Linked DNA regions of Yarrowia lipolytica. The protein of the gene in region 1 purifies or fractionates together with the protein of each later gene. This does not show direct contact. Links are inferred from orthologs where the notes say so. Each region holds a gene or a part of one and is shown in the gene's direction. Other genes may lie near its edges.

Region 1 (3,867 bases):
CTCATCATGAGTTGTCGGAGCTTCTGGTGAGTGGTTTGGTTAAGGGCGCTAGGTATCAGGTGTAGACGATACCAAGGGGGGGTCAAACTTTGTAGGACCGAGTATGGAATGGTCCATGTACGAGTAGGAAGATGTATATATTATAACGATTGACGAATGAAGCGGTTGAGAGGCAGAAAGTATTCCACTTGTTCCAGTATCTACGGTACAATAACTAAGGAGTAACCATTAGTTCTCAGTCAGACTTGGCTATGGTGTCATGGTGTACACACTATTGGACTGTTGCTGAGTTTTCATTTGGAGATCTCTCAGGAGCTGGATCTTTTCTCATGCTCTCGTTGTATAACGATGTTTCAACCTGAACCCCGTTATCACCACCCTTCACCATTGCACCCCACCAATCGTTAAAATAATACATTCCTATATAATCCTTCTAGTCTCAGATGGCGCGTAACCATCCACATGAGTCGTCCTAGCCCCTTGTTGTTATTGTTGAGTCGTTGAGCATCTCTCCACAAGAAAGCATCGTGGAGACAATGTAGCCGCAGACAACACAATGGCAACACTGCAGAATCTCGGGAATCACAGTAATCACATGAGTCGCCCACTAATCATAAATCAATGGCTCCTCGACTTTCTCTGTCTTCATCAATTCGGTCCGGTTCTTAGCCTTCTCCTTGGCCAGCTGCTGACTGAGTTTGCCACCCTTATTCTGGCCCTGGGCCCGGGCCTCTGCGGCGCGTGCGGCGGCCTCCTTGGCGTCCAGCGTTTCGGCTGTGCCTCCCAGAGTGTGTCCTGGCGAGTTGTATGTGTTTGTTGGCTGTTTGGGCGGTTGTTTCTTGAGTGGGATGTTTTCCGTCTTTGCTGGTTTGGCAGGCTTAGCCGCTGGTGGTGCTCGTCCTGCGGTCCTGCCCGACGTGGACGCGGGCTCGCTCTTGCTGAAACACGAACCCATCGTTGTAGTCGGCGTCAAGTGTGTGTGGAGTGATGATGTGCGGGTTTAAGAGTGGAGTGCATGACCATGCGTGGAGGGGAATAGGGGTAGTTGCTGTGGGGGGGAGGAGGAGTGAGAGAAAAAAAGAGAAAAGTGCGATGGGAATAAAAGAGTGGTAAAAACTGACTGTATTTTTCAGAATTCAAATTGATGAAGATTTCGTCATGTTTGAAACACCTGATGATTTCGATAGAGCAGCCCATTGAACCTTGATAGTGGCATTTGAAATGAGTGTAGAAAAGGCAGTGGTGGACTTATAGATCCAGGAACTAAAAATATACATCAATGGTAGTTAGTTTTACAGATTTATCTATGTAGAAATGTGATATGACCAGAATTTCAAGAGATATTGACACTCTCTACTTACTTGACAGGAGGTTAATATTTCAACTATTTCAGAGGCTATTGTTGAAACTTTCAAGTATAACAATAGCTCGAAAGAGTGCATTGTTCTTGCTCCATTTTCAACAGATTTAAATGAAATTAAAAAGGAGAGTATTTTAATTCTGGTGAAAGTCAAATACATGTCTAATATTACAATAGGAGCCATTACTCCTGGACTTTTGGCTACCCCAAAACCAACTCTTCGTGCAAAAATTAAGGTTCCATGACTACCTTATACAACGCCCTCATAACCACTCTTTAATTCTCTTTTTTGACAGATATTTCTTTTGACGAGCAACTCACAAACTTCCTTAGCTGATTCCATCTACTTACCGTCGATATACCGCTCTCACAACCCCCCGATATCGCAGAAGACAAACTCCCCATCAACACTTTCCAAACTCTAATTCCAACCTCCATCATCACAAGGTCAATATCACCACTTGCAACCCACACAACATGTCCATCAACTTTTCCCACACCCTGTGGTCTCCCAGTGACACGGTCAAAGACGTGGCCGAGACTCTGGGCATCTCCAATCTGCCCGATGACGTGGCCAAAACGCTTGCCATGGACGTGGAATACCGAATCCACGAGGTGATTGAACAGGCGCTCAAGTTCATGCGACACTCGAAACGAACGACTCTGGGGACCTCCGACGTGGGCGAGGCTCTTCGAGCGCTCAACGTGGAGCCCCTTTACGGCTACGAGGGCGTGGCCAACGAAAAAAGCGTGTCTTACAGAGAAGCCATCACCGGACCAGGACAAACGCTGTACTATGTGGATGACGATGAGGTGGACTTTGAACGGCTCATCAACCAACCGCTGCCTAAGGTGCCTCGTGCCACATCACTGACAGCTCACTGGGTGGCGATCGATGGAGTGCAACCTGCCATCCCACAAAACCCCCTGGCCAGCGACATCAGAGCCATGAGTGTTGATCTGAGAGGCGCCCAGACCACCAACAACTCGATCGCCACCATCAACGGCTCGTCGGACGTCAAGGTGAAGCCTCTCGTCAAACATGTGCTGTCCAAGGAGCTGCAGCTGTACTTTGACCGTGTGGTGGGTGCACTTATGGACGGCTCGGAAGTGGTTGTCACTGCTACCGGAGACGAGAAGGAGGCTGCGGTCAAGCAACATGCGGCTGCTCTTTCTTCTCTGCGAAACGACCCCGGATTCCACCAGTTGGTGCCCTACTTTGTGCAGTTTGTGGCCGAAAAAGTCACACATAACCTCAAGAACCTGCCCGTGCTCTACACTATGCTGCAGGTAATTGACGCACTGCTGACTAACCCCACGCTGTTCATGGACCCCTACATTCACTCACTGATGCCCTCTGTGCTGACTTTGATTCTCGCGAAGAAGATTGGTCCCAAGCCCGGCCATGAGGACATTGTGGAGGACTCGCAGGTGACCATTTCTCAGTACTCGATTCGTGACTTTGCTGCATCTCTTCTGGCACGAATCTGCGACAAATACAACGAGATCTACGCTTCTCTCAAGCCCAGAGCCATCCGAACGCTACTCAAGGCATTCATGGACCCCACCAAGCCGATACCCACTCTCTATGGCGCTCTCCAGGGCATTCAGGCGCTTGGTAATGAGGCCGTTCGTGTGGTCATTGTAGGCAACCTGAAGCTGTGGAGTGATACACTTTACAACCGGCTGTTGAAGTCGTCGTCGGACTCTACTTTGGAGCTGGAGCAGCTCAACAAGTGTTTGATTTCGGCTCTGCGACAGATCAAGGGCCAGGCCATCTACCCCGATCAAGAGCTCACTGAGCAGGAGATTGATCGATGCAAGGAGCTGGTGGGAGACAAGGTGTATGAACTGATTGAGAAGCTGGACGATTCACAGCAGGTTGTTCATGGATTGGTGGATTTCGAGGGTAAGCAGGTGGAGTAATGGGTGGATAGCGAGCAAGAGAGAGAACTGCACGCGCATGGAAAAGGGGGACCCCAGTGTATAGATAGTTCTGAATGTATTTTTTATATGATCACGGTGGAGGAATATGAAGGATGGGTGTATACGACTATCTGTGAGTTCCTAGGGATTGTACTGTATGATCGTGCTACGAGCATTATAACCTTGATGAGATGGTCTAGTGGTTTTGTAGACCCGAATGTCGTAATTTCATGATATCGTACTTGTAGTTCAGCATGTGAGTAAGAGGAAGCCAGTTGGTCGAAATCGTATTTGGACTCTAGCTACTGTACATACCAACTAAAGCATAGTCCTTGATACTGTGTAGAAGGCTTTTTTGTCTTCTCTACGAAGCTACCAGTACATTCTTGACTTATAAACGGTGAGAACAGTGTTATCTAAACTTGTTTCAACATTGTCGACCAGATCTAGCCAAAATACGATCATAGAGCACGTGACTGTTTCAGCTCGGTGAGATTGATGAAGGGACCCCCGCCCATTCTGGTTACCTGTCTTCGATCTTGCTCTCAACTTCCTGAGTCGATGGTTGCTACAGTATCGGA
Region 2 (3,207 bases), on another chromosome or scaffold:
GCTTCTTCAGGTAGACCCTTGGAAAGGGTCACAAACCGTTCAAACGAACGGTGGCCCTTCTTGTATGCCAAGCCACTGAAATTCACCAGAGCAATGTACAGATGGACATTGCATCTGAGTGCTAGCTTCTGCGCTGTGTTGTCTGATATGTGCGATATACTGGCACGCGGCAAAGGCTCCTTGGGTATATCCTCCTGATCACGGTCCAACAGCTTGAGGCAGTCCTTTAGTAGTTCACGTCCATACTTTAAAGTCGTGTGGTGTCGAAGTGCGGCCAGTCCTAGAAGATAATAGCAATACTGGGTACACTGGCTTTGTGTGACCCACTGAATGTTGAATGTACTTCCCCGAGCTCCGGCCAACTTGATGGTTCCATCAATGTTCCAGTTCTTCCACACCATCTCCCTCTTGCTGGCCTTTCTGTTCAAGGACCGAAGCAGCGTTTCCAGCGCCTTGCTGGCCTCCTTAACGGGGATGTCACAGTCTCTACGCAGAGCCACCAACACAGTCATCATGCATCGAAGCATGGCCACCTGGGGGATTGTCTCAGTGCACTCTGAAGCCTCCTCAAATGCTCTCATGTGATCTAAGGTGAGTAGAGTCTCTTCGTAGTTGCCAACATTGTAGTCTAATGCCTTTGAAATACCGTACAGTTGCAGGAATGACTTGGGTATACTGTCTGGAAGGGTCTCCCAGGACTTGAAAATGTCAAAAGCCTGTGGCAAACTGTTGTCAAGGGTCAGATCAAAGCGTAGCAACTGGAGAGTGTGGTATGCATAGTTGTCGTACATGCCCTGGTACTTATCGAGGCATTTGTTGCAGTGGAGGAGAGCAGCATTTCTGCTGGTCTTACACAGAGCTCTCACATTGAGACACTCCATCTGTAGCACCAGATCAGATAAGCCACTTCGTTGAGCAAGAATCATTCCCTGACCTAGCACAGACACCACACGGTCCAGACACTCAGTCTCGCTGAAGAGAACCTGAGCAAGAATGTATGCCGAGTATGCTTGAGTACTCTGAGGGCAGTTGGCGTCGCGGATCACTGTCTCAAGCATCTGAATACCTGTGGCTAGCATCTGGCGGTACTGTACCAAGTGTTCGCGAGTTTTAACCAGAGGCGCCACAATCGAGGCCTGTAAAAGATGCTCATGAGCGAGATAGATGATCAGGTCTCGACATTCTGGGCTGAGGTCGGAAGGACGATCAAAGGACAAGCTGTGAGGCCCCATGCTGGTCGAGAACAGTGGGAGTTCCTTTGCATGAATAGAGTTGGATAACGAAGTACAGTGTCCTTGGCTTACCGAGCACCAGACATGTGCTGTGGATACCAATAAACAAGGCAGTACAAAGGTATAACCCCCTCCGACCATTTTGCTCGTAACTTTTGGACCCAGCTGTGCGTTAAAAAATATATATTATGCGACATAAATGTGCGCTATCGCTCCTACAAGCACACATGACCAGAATGATTTTTTTTATTTTTAGTTCGTAATCGGTGTGAGACTCAACAGCCCTAACCGTATATTTCCAATTCCAGGCATGTAATCAAGTTTTCATCCAAAACTCTGTCGAAATTTTTCTGCAGAGGTGTAGTGAGGCAGATGGCTCGAAACAAGACCTCTAGAGGTAGGAAATGCACACAAGTAGTTCTGGCTAAATATGAGTGCATTATTCTGTTATTTTCCCAGAAAATAGAACCCCGCGAATGATGTATTTTTAAGGAACAGAACCAATTTCGATGGTCTTCTACACCATTTAAGGTTTTTACCCTACCGAAGGATCGTGAATATATATAAGACCGCGTCCCCCCGATTTCCCAATTTCGAAAATTAGGCTTTGGGTTTGGGATACACACTACATACAATATGGATGCCCTCTCTGCCCCCACCAACCCTGCACAGGCACAGCAATTCGTGACCCAGAACAATCTCTCGTTCCCTCAGGATGCCGAGGCCGACACCAGTCTGATTGGAGAGGTCAAGCGAGAGCAGGTCGACTCTGGTGTCTCCGGTATCGTCCCCACACTACAGAACATTGTTGCGACCGTCAACCTGGATTGTCGGCTTGATCTGAAAACCATTGCATTGCATGCTCGAAATGCCGAGTACAACCCCAAGCGTTTCGCTGCCGTCATTATGCGTATTCGAGAGCCCAAGACCACCGCTTTGATCTTCGCATCCGGAAAGATGGTCGTAACTGGTGCCCGAAGCGAGGATGACTCCAAGCTGGCCAGCCGGAAGTACGCCCGAATCATTCAGAAACTTGGATTCAATGCCAAGTTCACTGACTTCAAAATCCAGAACATTGTCGGTTCGTGCGATGTCAAGTTCCCTATCCGACTTGAGGGTCTTGCATTTTCACACGGTACTTTCTCGTCGTACGAGCCTGAGTTGTTCCCTGGTCTCATCTACCGAATGGTTAAGCCCAAGATTGTGTTGCTGATCTTCGTGTCGGGTAAGATTGTGCTGACTGGTGCCAAGCAGCGAGAGGAAATTTACGCGGCCTTCGAAGCCATCTACCCTGTGTTGAACGAGTTTAGAAAGGGGTAGATTATTTATTGCATAGACGCTGGTTCTCGGCGAAATAAAATACTAATGATACGAGGTAAGCCGAGGGACTAACGGGAGCTTCAAGGTAAAAGAGGTACTTCACAAGAAAAATTAACATAGCATATCACCAAAACCACATAATCCAAAAAAAAAACAAAAAAACGGAAAAACCACCCATTCATATCTGTACAAGTACAGTACAAGTACAAGTGTAGCTAGAATTGTGTTCTCCCTTTTGAACAGCTGGAGGATTGACGTGTTCTGAGAGAGGCGTGGTGTTGTCGTTTAATGCCGTCATGTTGTTGGCTCTATCTGCTGAGTAAGTAAGGGCTGTACAAGTACAGACGTACTTGTAGGAGTACAGCACTGTCTACAACAGGTGTACTTTTACCGGTAGGTATCAAACTCCTTGTACTCTTACTAATATTGGCACTTGTGCTTGTACAGTACTGTGGATACACATTGTACAGCCTGAAGCCAGAGTTTTAGCGTGTCTATTTTCTACAGTGTTAGCGTGTAAGGAAACCTTATTCGTGGGTGCGAAGGTGGCACTGCCAGGCTGAGCCTTATGCACACTTGAAACAGCTTTAATAGGTGCGCTGTCAGCAGCGCTGCAATTAACGAGGAGGCACGGAGACGGGGGTCCCGTTTCAAT

Evidence for each region. The genes of interacting proteins can lie anywhere in the genome.
Region 2: the proteins of YALI1_C06870g (region 1) and YALI1_B29977g purify together in Saccharomyces cerevisiae (affinity purification with western blotting; 10 studies listed by BioGRID, with this or other methods). This does not show direct contact. The link is inferred for Yarrowia lipolytica from reciprocal best matches to the Saccharomyces cerevisiae genes TAF6 and SPT15.

What each region holds. Positions count from the first base shown.
Region 1 is NC_090772.1:685,056-688,922, reverse strand, and holds YALI1_C06870g (uncharacterized protein), read left to right. Parts: upstream 1-1,837; coding exon 1,838-3,286; downstream 3,287-3,867. Other genes in the region: YALI1_C06917g (uncharacterized protein), read left to right, coding at 1-65.
Region 2 is NC_090771.1:2,995,872-2,999,078, forward strand, and holds YALI1_B29977g (uncharacterized protein), read left to right. Parts: upstream 1-1,868; coding exon 1,869-2,552; downstream 2,553-3,207. Other genes in the region: YALI1_B29972g (uncharacterized protein), read right to left, coding at 1-1,373. UniProt on the Saccharomyces cerevisiae protein: General transcription factor that functions at the core of the DNA-binding general transcription factor complex TFIID. Binding of TFIID to a promoter (with or without TATA element) is the initial step in preinitiation complex (PIC) formation.